Drosophila melanogaster: one gene and its partners. The protein of the gene in region 3 interacts with the protein of the main gene of each other region in a pairwise test. Each region holds a gene or a part of one and is shown on either strand. Other genes may lie near its edges.

Region 1 (4,835 bases), on a different chromosome or scaffold from region 3:
GGGGCTTAAATATAATTTTAATTTCAAAGGCAAGTCAAACAAGTTTTCTTTGTGGTGGTCGGCTGTTTTCGTTGAAGCTTTTTGTTGGATTCGTTTTATTAACAACAATTTCGTTTACTTTTGTTGCTAAGTTTTGGGCTTTCGGCCGAATCTCAGAGGTCGTGATTAATGTTTTTACAAAAGAGTTGTCGCCATTGGTGTGCTGATGTATAAATCTTTTTGCTGCTTTGCCATGAGTGTGAACTTGATTAAGAATCCGTTTAAAAGGAAGTGGTTGCTCATGTATAAGGGTCTAAATATGTTAGTAAAGAATTGTAGGACTTAAACAAAAATAGTCTAGGGAAATGTGCGTTTTCATACAAATTTTGAATATTTTCCCCCCATTTCTCCCAATTGCATCGGTGTTTTTTCTGTCTGTCACTCGGCCATAAATCATAAAAGTTTTTGCCGGGCAAACAGAACGGAGTTTATGATTTTGTCAGCTGTGTAACATTTCCAGCTGATAAAATCAATAAATTATGAGAAAATAATTTCATTTGATGCCATCTATTTGATTTTGCAAAAATCGAAGCTGGCAAAAATGCAAATGGAAATGTGTTAACGATAAGCAGGCTGAAAGTAAAAGCCAGGATAAGTTCATTAAAGCCCTTTTGGACAGATCGCTAGAGATACTTTCCAAATTATGGAACAGATTTTTAAATGTTTATTAAATTACGAATAAATTCCGCACCTCTGTGGGGCGCAAGTGCAATGAGAGAGCGGGAATGGAGAAAGAGAGAAAGGTAAAAGGTAGCGAGCGACAGACAGAGAGGACGACAAATATGCAAAGGCCAGACAACTAGGACAACAACAAAATCAGCAACAACAAGGACAATGCACTGCAACAATGGCCGCATAAATTTTCTATGCGGAGAACCCGAGAGTGTCCTGTTCGTCCAACTATGTGCGTGTGTGTGTGTGTGTGTATGAATGTGTTTGCGTGTGTGTCTGAGAGAGAAATGGCTGCCCTTTCCCACCATTCGGAAGTGAAACTATGTTGCCCAGGATATGCGCAATAATTCAAAAACGAATTCCAAGTTCAAAGAGCCCATTACTCGTGGCCAGTTAAGTTCGGAGCTCCGTTTTCAGTTTTCCAGCTTCAACTCCCGGGATTCCTGAAAGCATCCCACCACCCCTCCTCCCACTTTGCAAATTTATGCAAATGGCTAATAAGCCTGTCAACAGTTTGCAGTTTGCAGGCCAAATGAGTGATGACCTGGCTGTAGCTTCCGAAAAACGCCCTTTGAGTTATGAAGTGTTGAATCTGAGTTCGGGCAAAAAACTTATACCTTGCCCACTGCACATCGAGAAACAGATGCGCTATTCTTTGTACAGAGTCATTAATGTCAAAACTTCCACATATTTAGACAAGTATTTGGAAATGTATAAAGTTTCCGTCGGCATATACATAGACTGATATTCTAATCCATGTAAGCTTCATTGAAATGATTGATTTTATTCAAACATTTAATGGACAGCTAATAGTAACATAATATACTTATGTCAACCATTTTTTCAAAAATAATGTTAAGAGAACCTCACAATCATTTTTGTTTAAAAATTATATATAATTTTTAGTGACAATCGAATAATTCTTTGACGGTATGCATAGATGACATTACATTACATGTACAATTACCTTTGCAATTATTTAACAATATTGATTTTTTACTACAATTTAAAGTTAAGATTTTTTCTTCACTTTCAGTTACGATTATTATTAAATTGAATATTTGAAATAGTTTGGATAGGCAGAAATAACATAAAATTTGTAGTAAAATATAATTATAATCAATTTAAGCATTGTTTTCAAAACGCATTAACCATTTTTGTGAATAAAGACATTTTAATCCCAATTGGCCAATAAAAGAAACATATAACCATTTTGATTTCAGTGAAGAAGGTGAGGAAATTGAAAAGTCGAGCCCTGGCACTTACCTCTTAAATCCAATAACGTGCGCTTATCCTTCAATCCTGCTGGCTTTTGGAATTCTCAGCTAACGGTAGCTTGCACGTGCGCCAAAATAAAAAGTTTGCCCGCAGTGGAATCGAAACTTTTTCCGCTCCTTATTCTTTTCCGTTTTATGTATTTTGTTTTTTATTATTTATTTTTTTTTTGTGTTATTTTGGCTGTCTACGTTTTATTTCTGTTGAATTTGTTGTGGTTTGAGTTGAAAGCTTCAGCTTTTGTTTGTTGCTAGTGTGTAGATATTGCTCGATTTACGGGGGACTAGAAAACGTTGTTGTACAGATTCGAGTTTTCGGTGCACGATGCGTTTTTAAGAATAGATAAACACTTAGGTAGTAGGATTTGGCTTGATAAATTTGAACTCTAGCTCATTTGCAGCACAGTCAGCCCAGATCCATTAGTAGTATTGCACAATATGTGGATGAATTTTAATTTGAATCCAGACACCTGCCAGACACTCGAACATCATAAAAAGAAACGCGCGCGAAGTTCAATTCCAATTTCTCTGACGGTGTTTTTGTTTGCTGTTTATGCGATGGCGCCTGCGATTACAATTACGATTACGGTTACGATTACGGTTATTATTATAATAATGGGTTTATGACGATCTGCGCCATGCGATGGACAGTGTGCGACTGATTGCGGTTCTAATTTTTTACGATTATTGTTATGATTATTTTTACGGCCTTTATGATCTTAGCGGGCTGACAATTGGGATAAGAGAGCGGTCGCGACGACGGAGAGCGAGCGAATACGAATGCGAATAGTTCAGTTCAGTTTAGTTCAGTTCAGTTCAGCTCCGAGAGCCCAGCCCCAAGATATTGGCCGCTATAGCGACTACGGAATACGGGGCACCGAATACCGTTATGCTGCTGGGATCCCTCTCGCACACACACACATACAGTCGCACGTGGGCTAAGTCAACGGAACACGGACGGGTCCTCGAGTGCTTTGTTGTGTGATGTTGATTTCTTTACGACTCCTATCAAACTAAACCCATAAAGCATTCAATTCAAAGCATATACATGTGAAAATCCCAGCGAGAACTCCTTATTAATCCAGCGCAGTCGGCGGCGGCGGCGCGCAGTCAGCGGTGGCAGCGCAGTATATAAATAAAGTCTTATAAGAAACTCGTGAGCGAAAGAGAGCGTTTTATTTATGTGCGTCAGCGTCGGCCGCAACAGCGCCGTCAGCACTGGCAGCGACTGCGACCGCGACAGAGGTCCGATTCTGCTTCTGCTCCGGTCATAAAGTATTTTGCAAAAGAACCGTTCTGCTCTCGTTGCCATTTTGAGTGACTGAGAGAGCTGAGCGAGTGGGAGCAGCGAATTGGCGCCTGACTTGAGTTGACCGGCTTGAGTTGCCGGCCCGAGCTCGCTGAGCTGCAAACTGTAGTCAGTCTTCAAAAGAAGATCTTATGATGCACATCCAGTTATTTTCGATTATTCAGTTCCCAGATTTATTTTGGTTGGTATATTTGATTTCACTTTTTTATTAGGTTTTTAAGAAATTTGTTTCATTCATTTTGGTTTATTAAATACAATTTTTTGCAAGGTTCAATTTTAAGTTTCTTTCTCTTAAGTGCTCTTTTCAGTTTCTCTAAAATCGAAACTATTTAAAATTCGATTGTCTGGGCATTATCGAGTAGTTTCTACTTTTATTTCGAAGAGCGATTACTATATCTTTATAACTTAATATCTTTATACCTTTTTAACCATTCTTCTGGACTATATGGTCAATCAATTCATTTGCTTTTAATTTCTTAAAATAGCGTAACGATGTGAAAGATGTGTACATCTTCAGTTTACTTGTTTTTAAATTTTTGCGGTCAAATCTACCATTTTGTGGGAGACCACCTTCTATAAAATCAATTAAAATAATTGTACAATTTACAAATACGGTTCTCTAAAGGCCTTGTGTTGACTTTTTAGTTTTTAAAGTATCAATCCGTCGATTACTTCAGACTGAATCATTAATTTACAAACTCATTTATTTATTTATTTTACCAGTGAAAATAATCTAAAATAGGGTTTTGCAATGGAAAGGTCGAAAGTTTCTGTTTGCCTATTATGTAAAATAATTGTAAATTGTTATGCTGCTTAAGTACTTATAAGAGTAAAAAACGTTTTTGATTTCGATTGTCTCGATTTTTTATCTTTTTTAGATGTTCTTAATTAACGCTTATAGATATGGTATATAAACGTATAAACGTATCTTTTAATAATTATTTTTGTAAATATACCACAACCATACATAATTAACAGTTTTGTATAGCAAATGTGATTTGCCCGATGAAGTCATATCTAGACGTTTTGATATCTCATTATCGGCTAACATTCGATAATCGGGAGAATGATGGCCGCCGTGAATTATGGAACCCGGAATACGGTACTTGGAACCGGGGAGTATGGCATCCAAACATCCACTTGCCGACGGCAAAACCATCATGGCCGAGTTTATATCGAAGCGCGCCAACAACAAATCACATGCACGCACACATGCAGGCCATCACTCACACGCACACAATCACAATTCAGCATCGCTCTCACTCTCTCTCTTTCTCCTACGCTCTCGCTCTCCCACAGCTGTTGTGGAGCGGAAAAAGAACAACAACACAAGTTGGCCGAATTTTTGCAGCCGCTGCTTCTGCTTGCGGCGCTGCCAGCGTCGTAAACAGGGAGGAGTCCGCCACAGACGCACACTCATAAAGCATTCTCAGAGACCGCACACACACAAGCGCGGCACACAAACGCACAAGATGGATGGCGGCGCAGGCAGAGAGCGAGAGTGCGAGCGAGAGGGGCAGACGCGGGTGCGAGCGAGACGG
Region 2 (4,816 bases), on a different chromosome or scaffold from region 3:
TCGCCTTTACTCGGTCATTGGCAAAGTCCCATGAAGTTCCAGCCCAGTGCGTCTTCTTTTATTTTACATAATTTCATGTTCGCCCCATGGCGTCTTGGCCAGCATGAGTTCGAGTTCCCCGGATAGTAGCCAAGCCTATATCGTGGGCATTTCTTCATCCCTATCCCAGCTTGGGCTCGGTATATAACGCTATGTGTCTGGATTAACCTTCTATATGCGGCGCTTGTTAGGCATTTTTCATTCGCTGTGACATTTCGCCTTTGTGCCTCTTAATTATTTCAAAAGCGGCTGCATTTCGCTTTAATGAAGTGAAAATTCCTTGCGTTGATACCGCACACGCAACCTTATGAAAAATTGCTTAAACAGAATACAGAAACAAAGCCCCGATATAGGGAAATATATAAAATGTATTTTCTGGGTTCGGTTACTAGGTATCAAAATATATTTCATTGATTTTTTCAAATTATATTATTTGATATGGAGTGTCTTAAGAAGCAAACAGGGGAAATTATTACGCACCTTTGATGATTTCTTCAAAGAATATTAAATTGATTTATTAAAGAAATTAAAAATTTCTTATTTTTTTTTAACTTACTAGTGTTGGTATTATTTCTTCAATAAGAAAGTCAAAGTACAAGATAAAGATTGTAAGATTAAAAATAAAATTTAAGGTGGTAGAAATATTGTTACTTAAAAAAATATGTACATACGAACAAAGCACTTTTTTATTGTAAATATTATTTGATAAATAAAATCGCATCAAATTGTTAAGAAAAAACTATAATTAAATTGCTTTAGACCAAATATTGCTACATAAGTTCTTAACACATCAAAAAAAAAAACACTAGAAAATACAAAACAAAAACTGACAACGAATAAATATCCTTTCCATGACTGTTTTCACCTGTTCCAAAGCGCTTAAAATATTTTCAGCCGTTAAACTCGTTTACTCACAATTTTAGTTAGCCGACGGCGTTCACCTCCGTTCAAGTGAGTTTGTTTTCTGATTTTCACTGCACTGAACCACGATTTTCACTTGTGCTGAGTGCGGAAATCAACGTGCACAATTACGAAGGTAGAATTGTCACAACCAGCCGGATATCTGGGAAATTAATCCGATGGCATCCTGAGGGCAAACTGGCTAGACTTTTGCGTCCTACCTGCAGGCTTATGTTTTGGATGGTTCTAATGGGTAATTGGCCGCAAAGGGCTAAGCGACGGATTTGGACGGCTTTTGGTATCACAAACACACAAGCACACGCGCAATTTGTTACAGATCACGATAAGTATATGCGCTATGACGGAGTATCTAAGTATCTGCGCGAATTTCACGCCGAATTTATGACTGTCCATCAGCGCCAGCATCGATGCAAGCACTTTGCAGTCCATCCATCTTTCGCTAAAATCGAACAGTATTCGAGGGTCTTTACACGCGGAACAGCTGAGTGTTGGATTGTTTGAGTTTTTTTATTTGTGCTTTTTTTTCTGTTATTCCGGTGTATCCGCGGATACGTGCTCGAAGCGCCAATGTCTCACTTTGACTGCTCGGGCATAATTCAAATTTCTGAGCATCAATAAAAAACACAGATACGCCAGCGCTCTGGCTCACTCATACTGCTCCATTTCCCCCGTCCAATTGTATCTGCGAGTACGAGCAAGTAAGGCTATATGGCTATACAGCTACATATCGTCGTCCAAGTGCAGTGTTCATTATTCGAAAAGTGTGCGAGAGAGACAACGGGCATTGCGCCGCTCCGCCATCTCGCTCGCTCTCAGGCATGTGCTGAAACTACCTTTGCGGACGCGAAGAACGTTTCGAATCAACCGCCAAACCAGAAATTCGTTCCCACAAATTGTATCTCACGGATACGAATACGACACATCGGTGTGTGTGTGTGTGAGTTCGAAAGAGCGGTAGTTCGAAAAGCACCGCTCTCGCGTGTTTCGAACAAGTTCTTATTGAGAGAGATCGTTACTCGGTAGTTCGAAAATCATGTTTCGAACTGCGACTAAAGTCTTATTGTTCTCACCGACACTGTCCGTGTGAGATCGATTTCGGGGGACCAAATCATAAACATTCGAACTCCGTACTTTGGGCTAGTTGGGATAAAATCAAGACTCTGGGACTCATTTTGGGAGTTTGGAGAAGTAAAATCTGTCTCTGAAGATTTAATATATATTTTTAATGTTGTTCATATATTTTTTTTTAGTTAAGTGTGCAGTTAGTTTATATAACATTTGGAGGTATTGCAAAGAAGTAAAGTAATTGGATTTCTGAACTTGCTAAAATAATATATATTTATAAAAAATATATATATATATATTATATTGATTTTTTACAATTGACACCTTTTTTGTATTCTACAATATTTATTGTTTGTTAAATTGACTCTAAAATATTCAATCCTCCACACCACAGTGCAGTTTTAATTCAGAATGATTTGAGTGGAAAAGTTTAGAAAGGTTAAAAGGAACCATTTAACGATATATCGATGGTTTCATTTAAACCTTTAAGGGCAAAACTTTCTTAAATTTTCTTCTTACATTCAGAGTTTAGTTTTTCTACGTTTGTTATTTTCTTACCTTTATGTGGACGATTTGGGGAAATCCAATCAGACGCTACGAACAAGTCGTTGTAATTCAATTAGTTTTCTTAGCCAGCACTTCACTGTATACTTTTTATTTTCGTATTAATTGTATTTGCCTTTTGCACTGCACTTTGCTATCTTAGTTATTTGCGAAGATGAGCAGTTTGAGAAATTATTTGAGGTGGGTAGGTAATTCCGCTCCTATGTAAAGGAGTTAGTCGGTAAAGTATCCGCTATGGGGAGACCATGGCACCTTGCCGTCGCCAAAGAGCTTTCCATGGAATCGCAAGACTGGCTTTCAAGCGGAAACTTCGCGGATTGCTACGCGTACGAATACGAGAACGTGTATCTGTATCTTTTTATGTTTGCAGAAGACCGAGCGCGCTGCTTGGCGACTGAAGTGCGCCACGTTCAATTCACGTTTGAGCCATAAAAACCGACAAAACGACCCTCTCGTGCGTTGCCTTGTGTGCGTTTCGAACACTGTAAATCATTTGAGGACCCGGCCAACGAGTGCGAGAGAGAGGACGGACAGTGCGCATTTTCGAAAATCCTGCTGTCCCACTTGCACCCACGGCAGACTCCGCCCCCAGTCTTGATTTATGCGACGAGGGTGCCACGGCAACCGGCCTATGGCGCTCCAGCTTTTCCCTCGATTTGGGGAAAAGCGCGCTCTCGAGAAAAGCGAGAAATACGAGAAAAGCGAGAAAAAACAGGTAGTTGGCAGCCACTCCAGGACACATCTGCCCCCGGTTCACGCTCCAGATTAGGCCGAAATCATCCTAGATTAGGCGTCTCCCCCACTTTATTTGTATTCAATCGTGGCACTGTTCCGCTAAATCACCGCCACATTATTATTTCGCATTATTATTTTATAAACGTTCCGCTCCGCGTTCATTTCCATTTTTATTGGCCTGGCAAAATGCAAAGTCTCCTGCTGAAGCTTAAGTTATTCCTCCTTTAAAACGAGCTCGTTGGCAGTTGTCTCTGAATTTAAATTTATCGGTCTGTTTCGGGGCTGCGGATCGGGTTCTCTTTGGGCCGTAGCCAAGTTCAAGTTCTCATGATTCATTCAGCATCGGGGCTTAACGATTTTGATTTGTTTGGCTAAATGCCTTAATTAAAAGTCGATTTCATATTTGCTACCAACAATCCAGCATCGCATTCAGAGCTGAACACACATATGGTTTGATTTTGGCGTCATTTGAATTTGAATTCAATTGATTAGTTTGTCTCGGAGATTTAAATGTTGATTAGCTATTTTTTATCATAAAAATGAGTTGCTGGTTAAGACACACCCAAAATCGATTTTGAATGAGATTATTTTTTTTATTTTTATTTTTGGAATCTAACGTTTATGTTGCGAAACCACAAACATATACCAAATACAGATAAATGGCATAGGTCATTCGTAATATATTGCAAAAGCAAAAGTTTGTTTTAATAAGTATTTATAGTGAGTGTCTTAAAAATTATCTTATTTAAAAACGTATAAACTTAATACGTTTATTTGATACGAACTTGTAATAAAAGTGTTTTTTTAAGTGGTACTGAACGGTTACTTTCGAAACCCGAAACGCGAAATCAGCAATTCTTTCGAAAATATGTTTATTAAAATATAAATAAATTTTGTAAGTACGTATTTCGGAATTTATAGCTTAAGTTTATGTACCAATTCGATTTGTTCTTCTTATAGAAGTCGTATTTTTTGCCATATGTTTTCCGCTGTGTTTTTGAAACACACATGTCAGCTCTTTATGGTTGGCCCGCATCATCCACAAACCATATAAAAGTATAGAAAAAAACAAATGATGGAAAATAAATGAAAAACTAAAAAAAAAAAATCATAAGAGAGACGCCTGCGTGTACTTCTGTAATTGGAGTTGATGTTGGCGATGCCAGCGGGCAGCCAGCGCCAGACTCTCGTATCCCAATCCATAGCATAGCATAGCATCCTCTCGGATCCCATTCCATTCTAGATCCATGGAGGGTCCCCAGCAGCATCCAACATGTTGCAGGCGATTTTTCATCATCGCTTGCATGTTGCCTCCGATTGTAAATGTTGCCCCTCGCACACACACGCTCAATTTTTAATATGAAACAATCAGCAGCGTTTGTATTTTGTTTTTAGTTAAAGAAAACAGCGCGTAACGCGAAGTTGGAATTTTTGAATTAAATCTGGACATAGAAAAAACACAAAGAAAAACTTTGTAACTTATGTAACGCAC
Region 3 (8,044 bases):
CGCCTGGAGGGGATGCGGATGCGAATGCGAATGTAGATGGGGCGGTGGAGAGCCCAGGGCCAAAGAACTGGCGCCAGGCACCGACTGATCGTCCAGCGATGATGATAAGGAGCAGGCTGAGCCATTTGATCTCAGGCGCTTGATTTGCGGACCATCCGAATCGCCGATCGACGATGTTCCTCCGGCTGTCTCACCGCCTCCTTTCGTTGGCGACATGTCAGACTCGGATTGGGACTGAGAATGGGATAGTGACGGCGACTGATCTTGATCCTCGCCCGTTGGCGATGAAGACATCTTGCGTTTGCAGCGCGATTGTCCCGTTTCGCGGAAGCCCTTGGCAAACGGATTGTTGTCGATCTTCAGCTTGGTGATGCGATCGTTCTGCGGAAGAAGGCAACAAGACGAGCGTGAAATATGACGATTGCCGCCAGCATAATCTTGGGCAACGGGGAGATGGAGATGGAGAAGGAGAAGAAGACTCATCACATAAGTCACTGGCGTCCAGTAGCTGGCGTTAAGTAACATGGCCACTTGACACCAGACTGCGTTTCCAGTTCTCGGTGCTCAGTTCCACTCCAGATGACTTGACAACATTGTGATCTTTCGGATCTTTCTCAAACCGAATCTCCGATCTCTCGGCGATCTTGCTAATTAGAGGCAGACTGGCGTCGGCTGTCAATGGGCCTAGACCTAGACAAAAACACAGCGAGGCGCTCAAATTTACAAGGATGTGGCTATCCAACTTCCTAAAACAACAATCCGACCCGCTGACTTTCTGCCTGCCCTGCCCACCAACTACACGATCCACGGAGGCGTTCCATGCTAATTCGAGACGTTGACCAAGCTACCCACGGCGTGAGCGATCGCCGCTCGTTTGCCCAAAATTAACCAATTAGTGTGATCGTTTCCAGTCTCTTTGCTCAATGAATTGGCAAAAAAAAAAATGCACACACAAGTAGGAAGGCTAACTTCGAGGACACATGACTCGAATACTCTTGGACGAAACATTTTTGTTAAATACCTAATAGTGCGATTTTAGACAACCTTGGATAAGTCTGTGAATAACATGTGAATTAATCAAAGATAGGATACCATGAGGTGATTTTGAACTAGAAGGGATTCTCATCGTGTGGCAAAGATATATATTTTATTTGAGAGTACTAATTAGACATTGAGCTAGACTCATTACCAAAATGATGGCGCCCATTGAGAGGGTAAACGGAGTAGGGATGGGGATGGCACACCACTTACCTGGTAGGCTGTCACGGCCACGAACTCCGTCTCGGCGAACACAAAGGCCTGTTGTGGGGCCCAGGGAATCTGCGCCAGATCAGCGGTGCGTATGACGTGCAGACGCGGCTGATACTTGTGCATGCTGGCCAGGACAATCTGCGAATGGGGATGGCGAAAGGGGTTTGGACTTGGATTAGTAACTGGAGACGACTTCAAAGCCCTGGCCGCACTTACATGGCCGCTGTTATCCAGCGTGTTATTGGTCAACTTGACCTTATTGAACAGTATGGGCTGCGCCTGCCAATGGGCACCGGTGGCCGGACTGTCCGGATGCAGGTACATCCGCTGGGGACTTTGCGGCTCGGCTCCTCCGGCTGGAACCCACTGGGAGCCGGAGAACTTGTAGCGGCAGTCGCCAATGGGTACCATCTCGAGGAGCACGCAATAGTTGCTCTCGTCCTCCAAGCCGGAAACACTTAGTCGCATCGAGGGGAACATGCGTCTTTAGGGGAAAGGAAAAGCATCTTATTAGTTTAATCAGTCTCTTATTATATAAGACAAAATCATTTTTCATTATATTATTAATACAAATAAGACTTTAATATCATAATTATATGGTATATTTTACTATTTGATAAATGGCTAATTTCAAAGTTGTTATAAAACCTAGCATAACCTTTTGTATATACCATATTAGACATGAGAGTTATCTTACAGATATTTCCCTTATAAATATTACCAAATCGTTGGTATACTGCTTTCCTACAACATTTTCCTCTGTGTCAGATGAGCGGGGGAAGTCCAGGAAAACGCCTGGAAAACCTTAGAGCCTTTGTTTACCGAACAAACTCAAATATAGTCATGCTAGAACGACAAAAGGAGCCCATTCCCGGTTCCAGCGTGGGCGTTACAAATATTTAATTGTGAGATTTCCCTTCCATGCGCCATGTAATTAGGACTGGTCAAATAGAGATTGCCCGGTGGAGTAGGGGCCGTTTTCCCTGTGCTAACAAGGATGCGAGGCCCTGACCCTCGCCTTCAACTCCAAGTCGCTGCCGCAGGAACAGCAGGTGGTCACGGCACTTGGCGCCTGGCCGAAAAATGTTTGCCCTTCGTCCTCATCCTCAACAGCGTCCTCATCCTCGAATGGTTTCTTGTTTTTGGCAATGATTTCGTGTTTCCCTCAACCGATGATTAATTAATTGAAATCCACAGAGCCTCGGTTTGCTAACATTTAATTTGATTCTGGCTTCGGGTCTGCCTTTTCAGCTCCGTTGAATTCCATTAGAGCACGGCACCGAAATATTTCGACATTTGTGCGGTTTAGAATTTCATTTTCAATTTGCTTGCTCTCAGTTTTTGTTTATTGTTTTTTTTTTTCTTTATTTTTTTGGCAAGAGTCCGCTGTCTGGATTTGGACAAACGATTTGTTAAGATCGATATCTTTGGCGCGTCTGCGCATAATTACCAGTGGAATTTTCTACTGCGAGTAAGGAGCATGCTGACCACTTGACGGCATTCGACTTGGCGCTTGACGCTTCGCAGGTGCAGGGACACAAGCCAGGAATGCGACGGAGCATCGGATCTCGGACTCCCGAAGGGTACTCTGGAAATATCCAGAGCTCACTCCAATGTTTACCCTACAATTCCATATAAATAGCTGCTTGATATTCCCAGAATTAGCATATTTAGGAAATTAAGAGTGAGACTATTTATTAATTGACAGCTATAAAACTGGAAGCAAACGACATAAATTTTGAACTCTTCAGATCGTAAGCCAGTTTTGAATGAGTCTACTAGGAATAACATTTCTTATTAGAGAAAGGGTAAAATATTTTCTTTTTTTCTTTCTGCAACTAAAAGTTTGAATCCAATTGAAAATTCTGGGTATATTTGCGCTTCTCATCGAAGTTACCGTGTCGCTTCTGTTTACCGCCTCTCTTGGTGAGTGGAGGAGCCCACACAGTCTAAAAGCATCGTGACAAAGTCATTTCATTTGCCGCCAGTATCAGACATTAAGCGATACGGTTTGTTCTATCTAACTTTAATGGCCGTCTGCGCTTTTACCACCCAAAAAGATGGAACGGTTCAAGTGGCAAGCGGAGCCCAGACAAGCAACTAATTAGTTTTTATGAGCGCCACTTGGCATAGGCATAGGTTTTGGACTTGGGATCGTATCCGTATGGGAAATGAAACGGGGATTGGGATGCGATTGGACAGACGGTGGCACTCTGGCGCCTAATCATTAAAAATTCAAATCGATTGCATCGCGACCTCTCCACCGATGCCCATAAAACATTTTTGATGAGCATAAAAAGTATTTAATACGCAGACTATATGAATAATTCATGGCATATATAAAACAAAAGGGTTGTTCGTGGCTCGAAGTGTATTCATTCAATGCATTTCGAGACCAAAAGTTTATGTTAATGCGTTTGGGAACCCTTTTTGATCGGCTCGAACTGAGGGCAAGTGTGAAATTGCTCGTATCTGTCGACAAGCTGTGGTCACTGTCACTGCCAAAAGATACAGATATGTACGAGCATCTTATAGAATGCAGAACGCGAAGATATTTCGGGGCCGCAGGTTGTTCGCTGCGCAGACAGGCGCCACAATAAAAACGCTAAGAGCTACAAAGATGACGACAAAGTATCCTTGACGCGAAGATTTATGCCAGGCGAGGCATAAAGGAGCGCCGACGAACCGACAGGACGTCCCACTGAGCTCGGCGCTCGCCCGATCGGTCCAGTTGGTCGGTCTACAATAAATTACGATGACGCCACTTTACGCACATTCGAACAAGTGCCGGACACTTTTAGGTAGTCGCCTTTGTGCAAGTAGTCGTGCATCTGATCTGATACTCATAGATACACGATAAATTAGCTCCGGGCGATCGCGCTATGCCTTTGATTCGTACTATCTACGATCTGAGCACGCAAAGTGCCGGCGAACTTGTTCGCTTTACGCCTCGTGCGATAGCCGATGTCCAGTGCGCATCAATTTTGGCTGAACCTGCAACCGCTTTTCCATTTCCCGATTTTCAATTTTCAATTTTCGATTTTCACATCCTGCCGACGTAAGTGCATCCTTCCGCCTTGTTTGCCTGTGAAAATCGTTGTCGCGACGCCGCTGTAAACAATTTGCAGGCGCCTGCATCTAATGAGCCTTTAACAGCAGCACATCCTCGCTGGACTCTACTGAATCGGATCGGAATCGGGATCGGGCCAGGGATCGGGCTAGGGATCGTTATAGGGTGCTTTAAGTGCCCGCGCCCGTTGGCTGGTTTATTATTCTTTGCCCTGCGTCTGGGGTATTAGTTTTCATGTTCGTGCTAATGCATCGCTACATCTATGTTTGTTCCCGATCTCTAAAGTCTGTATATCTCGAGATTCCCCCACTCTTGGTTTTTCATCATTTTCATCATCAAAGATCTTTTCTCTCTGTTCTAAACCTACCTGCCACTCTTGGTGATGATCATTTCCGTGCCAATTTGATGGAACTGCTTCCATAGATCGTCGTTCTGCAGGGTCATCTCCACGCCGGGCAACGTGACTCGAGGTGGCATGATCACGTGCCGTGGCATCGGAATTGGCAGCATCGGCGGAAACGGATCTGAAAAGAACAATAATCAATAGGGGGCTTATAGGTTAACAAAAGCTCAAGCAATCTAACAAACTACTTAGTCTTCAACAAAGAAAATTAAGAATTATTGAAATTATGTAAACATATTAACATGGTATTTGGCTAAAATGAAACCCATTCAAATAACTTAATAGTCGCCATTAGTTTAAGAGCGTGGGTCTGAATTAAAGTGTGACATTTCTGACTTATCCAAAGAGATCTTACGGCATAAATCCATATGATGACTGACATATTTGTCATAAAAACAAACGAACAAACATGGGGTTATATAAAAACGCTTATTTGGCGAACGAGGAACACCGATTCTTTCCCGATTACCAAACTTAATGCCCTCCATCTGGTATCCACAAAATAAGGAGCGATACTTTGGCAAACAACGATTTTGTTTTAGGGGTACGCTGATCCCGAAATTTAACGACCGTCGGCAACAAGAAAAATGCATTTGATATCAAGTTTCTCGATCGGCGATCACTTTCCCACATTACTCAGCTTTATGATCCGCTGGCCATAAACACCGCTACTCGCACACACCCCGCTGATCTTGGCCAACTTTGGTGGGCTGAGACAGTAACAGAAACAAAAGCAGTTTGCCAAAAGTTACGACCATTAATGCTAATGATGGCTAACAGCTTTGCCGCACGCGTAACGGGGCGGATGAGTGATATGAAGGGGGCAAGCAGTTTACCTGGTATGCGCTGCATGATCTGCTGGCGATAGATCTCGTGTGCTATGTGCTGCTGCATGCGCAGATCCACCAGCTCGTTCATGGTGATCATGATGTGTTGGGTCCAAAAATAGTACTAAATCTTTGCCCGAAACTTCTTTGTTTGGCGTTTGTCACTTGCACAATTGTTCCCCAGCACACAAAAAGCACTGTCACAACATATGGCGGTGTCTATTTTTTTGGAGCCCGGGTTTACTTTTTAGCCGAGCACGAGACGCCGCCGATTAGCGTCAATTATGCAAATCACGGCACACAAAAGTCTCTCATGTGCGTGGGTGTTAATTTGATTAGGCCCGGTGTCGCGTACGTGGGTTATTATTTTACCACAAATATATTGAGAGAATTTTTTGTATCTTTGGGCGACGGTCGTGTCTTGAGCTCGCCAAGTTCGCATTTCAACTGAGCAAGTTCCGCTGGCAGAGCGATCTCTCGATCGAGCTGAATGGAACGAGCTTGACTCGTTTCCGTCTTGAGCCATTGATCGAGATTACCTGCTGCTCACCATCGATTGGCTGTGGCAGTGTACGGAGTGCGGGAGCTAGCCGTCCCGCTCTGGTTTGGCACCTCCATTTTGAAAAATCCTCTCGATTTTCCAGATGCCATGGCTCCGCCCACGAAGCGCTGACTATCACTCTCTCTCTCTCTCTCTCTTCACATTGTGCCAGCTCGCTCTAATTGCGTTTAATTCTGAAGTGCGAAGTTGCACAGTCAGCGGAGGAGCAGCAACATGTTGCTTCTGGGTCCATTCGCTATGTGTGTGTGCGCTGGCTGGCTGCCTTTTAATTATGATCATGATGATTGAAATTGTTTTTTCTCCGTCTCCGCTTTTTGGCATCTTTTTGTGTATTTATGCTTTGCCCATTTGTAGCCGCTGCCATCACCATCACCATCATGGTGGTCCTCTTGTCTGGCCTCTCCAAGCCGTGTGTGTTTGTCGTTTTGCTGATCATTTATTACATTTTACCCGGCGCACTACAGAGAAAAGAATTTATTGATGCTGTTTGAACAGCAATTTGATGGTTTTTTATTGAAAAATATTTACTCTTGGTGTGTTTGGCAGCGTATTGTATAAGATATTGATCTAAGTATCAGTAAAAGTTCCAATCACTTACTTTAAAGTACCTTGTTTACCTGTTGGCGGATTGATGTTGGATGAAATTGCTTGGTCATCGTTGCAATAGTTTTTTTTTATACACATTTTAGAGTTTATCAGTAGAGAAGAATTGGTAAATAGTTTAATTAATTAATATATTGGGGCCCATTATACAATAATCTTTACTTTTTAATTAAACGAATAACACTTTAATGCAGTTTTCTCTGTGTAATTATATGTTATTTCGACTTTGACGCTGCGTCATTCAGGCATTGATATGGCGGCATCCAAAGGCCCGATATGGCGTCTCCACTTGCTGGTACACGAATATCTATAGGCTATAGTCTAGTCTACAGATATTGCCGGCGATGCAGGTGATCACTGTTTGTGGATCTGACCTTTTAGAGAGCTTGGCAAAACATTTGTTTCAAACGACGGAAACGCGTGTCGGAGCTGCTTGCTAACAAATTCGAAACTAATTAAGGCCCAATGAGGTGGTCTGAACTTTGACTGAAGTTAAGCATACGCCATGTGGGCCGACGATGGCGAAACGTGCTCGGTTTTTAATGTGTTGTTTTCTTTTTTTTTTTTTTGCCAACGACTAGTCTCGTGTTTGCCTCCAGTGCCACTTCCTTTCAAGTTTAAGACAATCGCTTGGCTTATCTGAACAGCATTACTGCGAAATTCCTGAGGCTCTCGATGGGTAAATATGTAGTTAGCCGAGCTAATTTACACAGCACTTTGCTGGCCTGACACATCCACGCATTATTTTCCTATGGATATGGCCATAGCCACAGTTGGCGGCGATAAGCGTCTGAAATTAATTTACTATTAGCAGGCCATTTCGCCCAAATTGCGTTCTGGCCACGTATGAATGTATGCGCCGTCTGACCATAATTTATGCCTCGCGTTTTCACATTTGGTCGCGCTCATTTCCGGTTGCGTTTTCCGTTCTGCCGTCTTTCAGCTCGACTACGTTCGTCAAACCATTAGACATCGATCCTGTAGAGCCTCTAAAGGGTCTGCCCTTTCAGACCATGCCAATAGCTGTGCAATTTGTCAGCACCCAGCTAATTGGTGCTGCCCCTGTGCCTGCTGTCTGACTAATGCATTTCGGTTTACTTCCGTTCGGTTCCGGATAAATGGGCCAACAGGTAGCAAATGATGCACTCGAAGAACTGCTAGTTGAGCAAGTAGTGTTTGCAATAATTAAAATACCTGCAGTTAGTTCGTTTTGCATGGGTTTCAGTCATCAAAGTATGGAGAAGCAAATTAAGCAAAAATTTCATTGAGTTCAGATAGATGGTCTTATCTATGACACATAGTCAAAGGAATTTTTGATTATTTTACTA
Region 4 (4,986 bases), on a different chromosome or scaffold from region 3:
CAATTGTTTCTGCGTTGTTTCTGCCCAAATGAAATCCAATTAGCCGACTACAAGGCCTACCAACCAACGACTGCCAGCAGCAGCAGCAAAACAGCAACAATGACATTGCGAGGCGGTACGAAGAGAAATGGAGTTCGCCTCGTGACTTTTTCCAGAGTCCTTTCCACTGCCAAGTGGTGTGCGTGTGCTTTTGTGTGCCTTGCCAATTGAATATGCAGTAATTGCCTTTCTTCATTTTTGGCCATGATTTTTTGCTCGTGTCTGACACAGAAACATGGCCAGTTAAGTGCAGAAATGAATATTTATAGTCGTTACTTCTAGGATCGGACTCCGTTTAAATGCAAAGTGAACGGTTTGATTCTGCAGCCCACTCTCAAGAAAAATTGAATAATAATCAAATTATGAATAATGATATTATAAAGATAGGTAAAGATATGTAGATATAATTAACTAACATAATTTAACATTGAACAAAAAGCTGCATATGCAGCTTAAAACCAGTGATCAATATGTACATACATTGGCACTCTTTTAAATCACAGAATAGTATTTGTGAGGTACAATATAAGACCTTAAAGCAAATCATGTTTAAGAGTAACCAAACTGTGCAAGTAGAGATATAGTAACCCTTTATTATGAAATATAGATATAATTATCCTCTGACCAGTAGCGAATCTCCTAAGCGTAGTAATGCATTATCCAAGTTATCGCAAATAGGATTTGGGATTTTCATAACATTGCCTTATTCTGAAGGGGTTCACATTCCACATCTCGACTCAGCTATCTCAGCTAATGAAAACGGAGTACGCAATCGCTTCTGGCCACACACACGCATTCCATCCAGGCCGGCTAGAACAACACCTGAAACTGAGACTAAGACTAGGACCGAGATCCCGGCCAGCGATGAGCAGTAACATGGCTCGTGCCCAAGAAAAACTGTCAATTAACCCGTGGGGTGAACTTGTGGAAAATGCCAGAGCTGCTGCATCCACTGCATGCCGCGCAATTTGCATTCGCATGGCCGGGGCAAATGGATTGGATTCCTGTGGCTTCAGCTCGAGTCTGCTTATCGCAATCGCCGCCTGCCAAATGCCAGGCGATAGCGCGTAGAACTCTTGGCGCTAATAAAGATCTCAGTAGTAAGCGGTGTGAGGTGGTGAGGGGTGACATTAGGCGGTGGTGCAGGGCAGCCCTCCTGGCCAAATCCGCTGCTTTGTGAACTCAAGCTGACAGAACGCTATTTCCAATTGTGCTATTAATCTGCCACATTTGCACTTCCGCGGAAAAGAGTCGGCGGGCGGATGTGATCTCTTTCGCTCGTCAGTTGGCTGACTCGCTCTGCAGGGGTGATTTGCGGGCGAGCGAGTGAGACAGAGCGAGGCAGAGTGGTAACGCTTGGCTAACCTGAAAATAGAAACAATCGAAATAAAAATACATTCTCTTCATGCTCTCGTCTAATAAAAAACCCCAAAAGCAAAACGTTTTCCATTTAAAATGTCGTCGCAACTGCCAGCGGGAAGTGGACGTCGAGAGTGGCAAGTGTGTGGGGCAAACTCCGGCCAGCGGCCAATGGCGGTTGGCCGAGGCCACGCCCCGTGGCTCAATTACCGACCAGTGCTGCCCATCGGCGGGCAGAGCGAAACCTGTTTCCACGAGCGAGAGGCAGTCAGGCGCATGTGCGATCAGAGCGGGATGGATGGCTCAAGGGTGGACCAACCAGAAGAGGCAGGTTGCTGGTATTATGGTAGGTTAGGTTCAAACAAGGTGGCAAACTGGCTCTTAACCGAAATAGGAAGGAAGTCGGCAGCGGCGTCGACGTCGGGCAACTGGTTTGACTTGTTTCCGGCTCACTCCAACAGCCCAAACCCACCAGCAATCGGCAGAGGCAGCCAAGTCGGCAGAGGGCAGGCAGAGCAGCGGCCGTCGGCACAATTTGATTGCATTTATGAAAAGCGTTTTCGCCCGCTAGCACGCGTCCGCTCCCAGCTCGCAATTCGCCATCCGTAATCCGTAAACTTTAATCCGTAGACCGTAATCCGTGAATCCAAAGCAGTTCTCAGTTGGAATTTCCCGCAACGGGTAGTGCTTAAGCGCGGAAACTGAATTGAAATCAATCGGACGATTAGTGTGTGCTTCGCGGTTGAAACACTCTACATCTAACTATTAAGAGAAAAGAGTGCCCAATAAGATTCGAAAAGTGCAGTGAGCGAGCTCCAAATTGGCGCCACTAATTGCCAAAATGTCCAGCCACGAGGAGGATGACCATGAGCACGAGAACGAGCACGGCGAAGAGGTGGAGGAACAGGAGATCCACGTGGATGTGGACTCGGACTCGCGGATGTCATGTGGCAGCGGATCCGATGTGGATATGGACGGCGGCAGCTGCTACGACGAGTCCGAAACGCCATTGAGGTGAGAAGGAGAGCTTTTAAATAGAACCAGGAAGTAGGAAAAATGTCCCAAAAATATAGATATTATCAGTATAGATATACCATAAATAAGCAGATCTTCCAATTACAATAAGACTTCTACATATACATACATATATTATTTTTTTAACTAGATTGTGATAAAATGCTTTGGCTTCCGTACTACTTACTTAAAACTGAAGAGGCCTTTTTTTTTAAAATTCATTTTGGTAAATATTTTTCAAATATGAATAACGTCTGAATTTATGTACGTTGCAAAATCGAACAATAAAAAATATTTTTGGTTTAATTGTATCGTAAATAATCTGCTACACTAAACTTGAAAAGAGATTGCATCTCTATTAATAATAATAATGGCTTTACTTTCAAATTATACGATGTACAAACATAATAATTGGTCTGAAACAATTCATTACGGAAAATCCCCAAAAAAAATATATTAAAGAAAAAGCTCAGTTTTTCGTTTACTCTTGATGGTTATGATCATCATGCAAATTAATAAATATTTTTTTGTAAGTACTGGGCTTGATTTAGTTGGCCACATTATTCGTTAATTACTCATAAGTCAAAATTTAGATCGACAGCAATTTGATCGACTAACTGAGAGAAAAAGATCTATAAGCTATAGTTATAATAGTTGGCATACAGTCTTATTTTATTGCCCTATAAAAGTCAAACAAGTATTGTGGCGGAGAAAAGCTATTTGCATTTGTTATTACGAGCTCATAACTCCCACTGTTTTACGATCTTTAACATTGTCACTCATAATGCTCACAAATCCTATTTTTCGAATCGTGGCTCAACGCCATTGAAATGCGTTGATGTTTAAGCCCCATTGTCCGCTCTTACAAATGGTCCCATTTTCCAGCGACAAAAGGGGATAACAAGATGCCAGAGCATCCAGCAGACCGTGTTAACTGATCCCATTCAAGCGTTTGTGCGCTTAGAAGAACAGTGTGAACAAACCTCTTAAACGCTAATGAATTGACCACAAAGCCACCAAAAGAATCAAGTCGAAATGTCCCATAAAGTGCCAAAGAAACTCCCTGAATTTACATAGTTCACGGATGGCCAGGGTTTCCAATAGACGACGACGATAAAACGCACATTAGTAAGGCGCCAAAAACGGGCTGTGATAAGACATTGGGGTCCATTTGGGGCTCAATCTGGAGTTGGATCTTCGGCTTGAATGCCGGACAAAGACGAAATCGTTTGTCGGATTAACATTTTAATAGAGATCGTCATAAAAATGCCATAAAACCCGCGTTCCAGCGAATGTAGATCACCAGATAGCAGCAAGTTTTGGCCAGTGAAATAATATGTGTTTGCTCATAACTTTTGATATTGGAAAGTGTCTGTGTGTCGGTGGTTGGCGATTTGAGATCATTGTTCCGATACAATTCCATTCCTGTTCCAAATGGGTTTTTACTTTTTGGATTTATAAATTAAATGCCGTGCGTGACTTGTTTTCGGTGCGTCAGTTGATGGCATTTGATGATTTATGGGCGCGTATTAAATGCCTCTAACGGCCGTCAGCATTTGCATAATTACTTCATTTCCAGCCGCATTGCGTATACGCAGCGGTGGCCACACGGGTTCTGCATGTCATGTCGTCAACTCGGCTTATCCGCTCGCGTGGGCTTTTGGTTAGTGGTTCCGAGACTGGTACGCACTGCAACAGACTTAATTATAGTCAATGTTCTCAGGCTTTCCCGCTTATCGGGCGACACATTTTAATGAGCCCGCACCTCCAGAGGGCTTCTTTCCCTTCGATTCTGATGTCTTTTCTCCGGTTTTTATTCCCAGCGAGTCCCTGCAGTCGGAGCAGACGCGCTCCTCGTCCAGTGAGAATCTGCCCTTCAGCATATCACGCCTGCTATCCAAGCCCTTCGAGACGAGTCACCACCACCACAACAACAACAACCACCTGCTCAGCAGCAGTCCGGGCTCCAGCAGCAACAACAACAACAGCGGCGAAAAGGGCGAGGAGAAGGAGCTACTGCAGCAGGAGGACCACGACCTGGCCTATAAGCTGGCCACCAGCATCGCCAACTCGACATACGGAAGCGCCGCAGCACTATACTCGTATCCGCATCTCTATCCCTCAGCGGCCGGCGGTCATGTGCTACGTGTACCGCCCCAGAGAACGCCGCTCACCTGGGCACTACCGCCACTGCATCACGCGGCGCTGGCACATCAGGCGGTCAAGGATCGGTTGGCAGGTGAGTGAATAGCAGCGAAGTCAAGAGGGTTTGCCAAATCCAACCCATTCGGGGCCCCCATGTCGGGATGGCCCATGTTCGCCGAGATCTTTCGGGGGAGCGATCCTCCAATGACCCGCGGTGGCAATTGCTACTGTTCCCCAAATAAGCACGATCAGAGAAGACTTTTAAGGCAACATGCCTATCGGCATGTCATTGTTGGCCAACACATTCGTGCACCAAGAGAAAATGTGGCATTTGAAATAAAAGAATTGGTAACATTAAGAATAAAAATGTTATATATGTGCCTACATAACGCGTAGTTGGATGCATTCAATTGTGCAATAGGGTGTAGG

The links.
Region 1: the proteins of Doc2 (region 3) and Antp interact in a protein complementation assay, tested with the Drosophila melanogaster proteins (one study listed by BioGRID).
Region 2: the proteins of Doc2 (region 3) and Scr interact in a protein complementation assay, tested with the Drosophila melanogaster proteins (one study listed by BioGRID).
Region 4: the proteins of Doc2 (region 3) and C15 interact in a two-hybrid assay, tested with the Drosophila melanogaster proteins (2 studies listed by BioGRID).

Annotation. Positions count from the first base shown.
Region 1 is NT_033777.3:6,996,229-7,001,063, forward strand, and holds the start of Antp (antennapedia), read right to left. Parts: upstream 3,001-4,835; 5' UTR 1,978-3,000; intron 1-1,977. UniProt on the Drosophila melanogaster protein: Sequence-specific transcription factor which is part of a developmental regulatory system that regulates segmental identity in the mesothorax. Provides cells with specific positional identities on the anterior-posterior axis.
Region 2 is NT_033777.3:6,846,962-6,851,777, forward strand, and holds the start of Scr (Sex combs reduced), read right to left. Parts: upstream 3,021-4,816; 5' UTR 2,584-3,020; intron 1,545-2,583; exon of another isoform or gene 955-1,544; intron 1-954. UniProt on the Drosophila melanogaster protein: Sequence-specific transcription factor which is part of a developmental regulatory system that provides cells with specific positional identities on the anterior-posterior axis.
Region 3 is NT_037436.4:9,013,241-9,021,284, forward strand, and holds the start of Doc2 (Dorsocross2), read right to left. Parts: upstream 6,007-8,044; 5' UTR 5,652-6,006; coding exon 5,561-5,651; intron 4,846-5,560; coding exon 4,689-4,845; intron 1,736-4,688; coding exon 1,468-1,735; intron 1,390-1,467; coding exon 1,252-1,389; intron 382-1,251; coding exon 1-381.
Region 4 is NT_033777.3:21,498,019-21,503,004, forward strand, and holds the start of C15 (C15), read left to right. Parts: upstream 1-1,967; 5' UTR 1,968-2,239; coding exon 2,240-2,412; intron 2,413-4,235; coding exon 4,236-4,651; intron 4,652-4,986.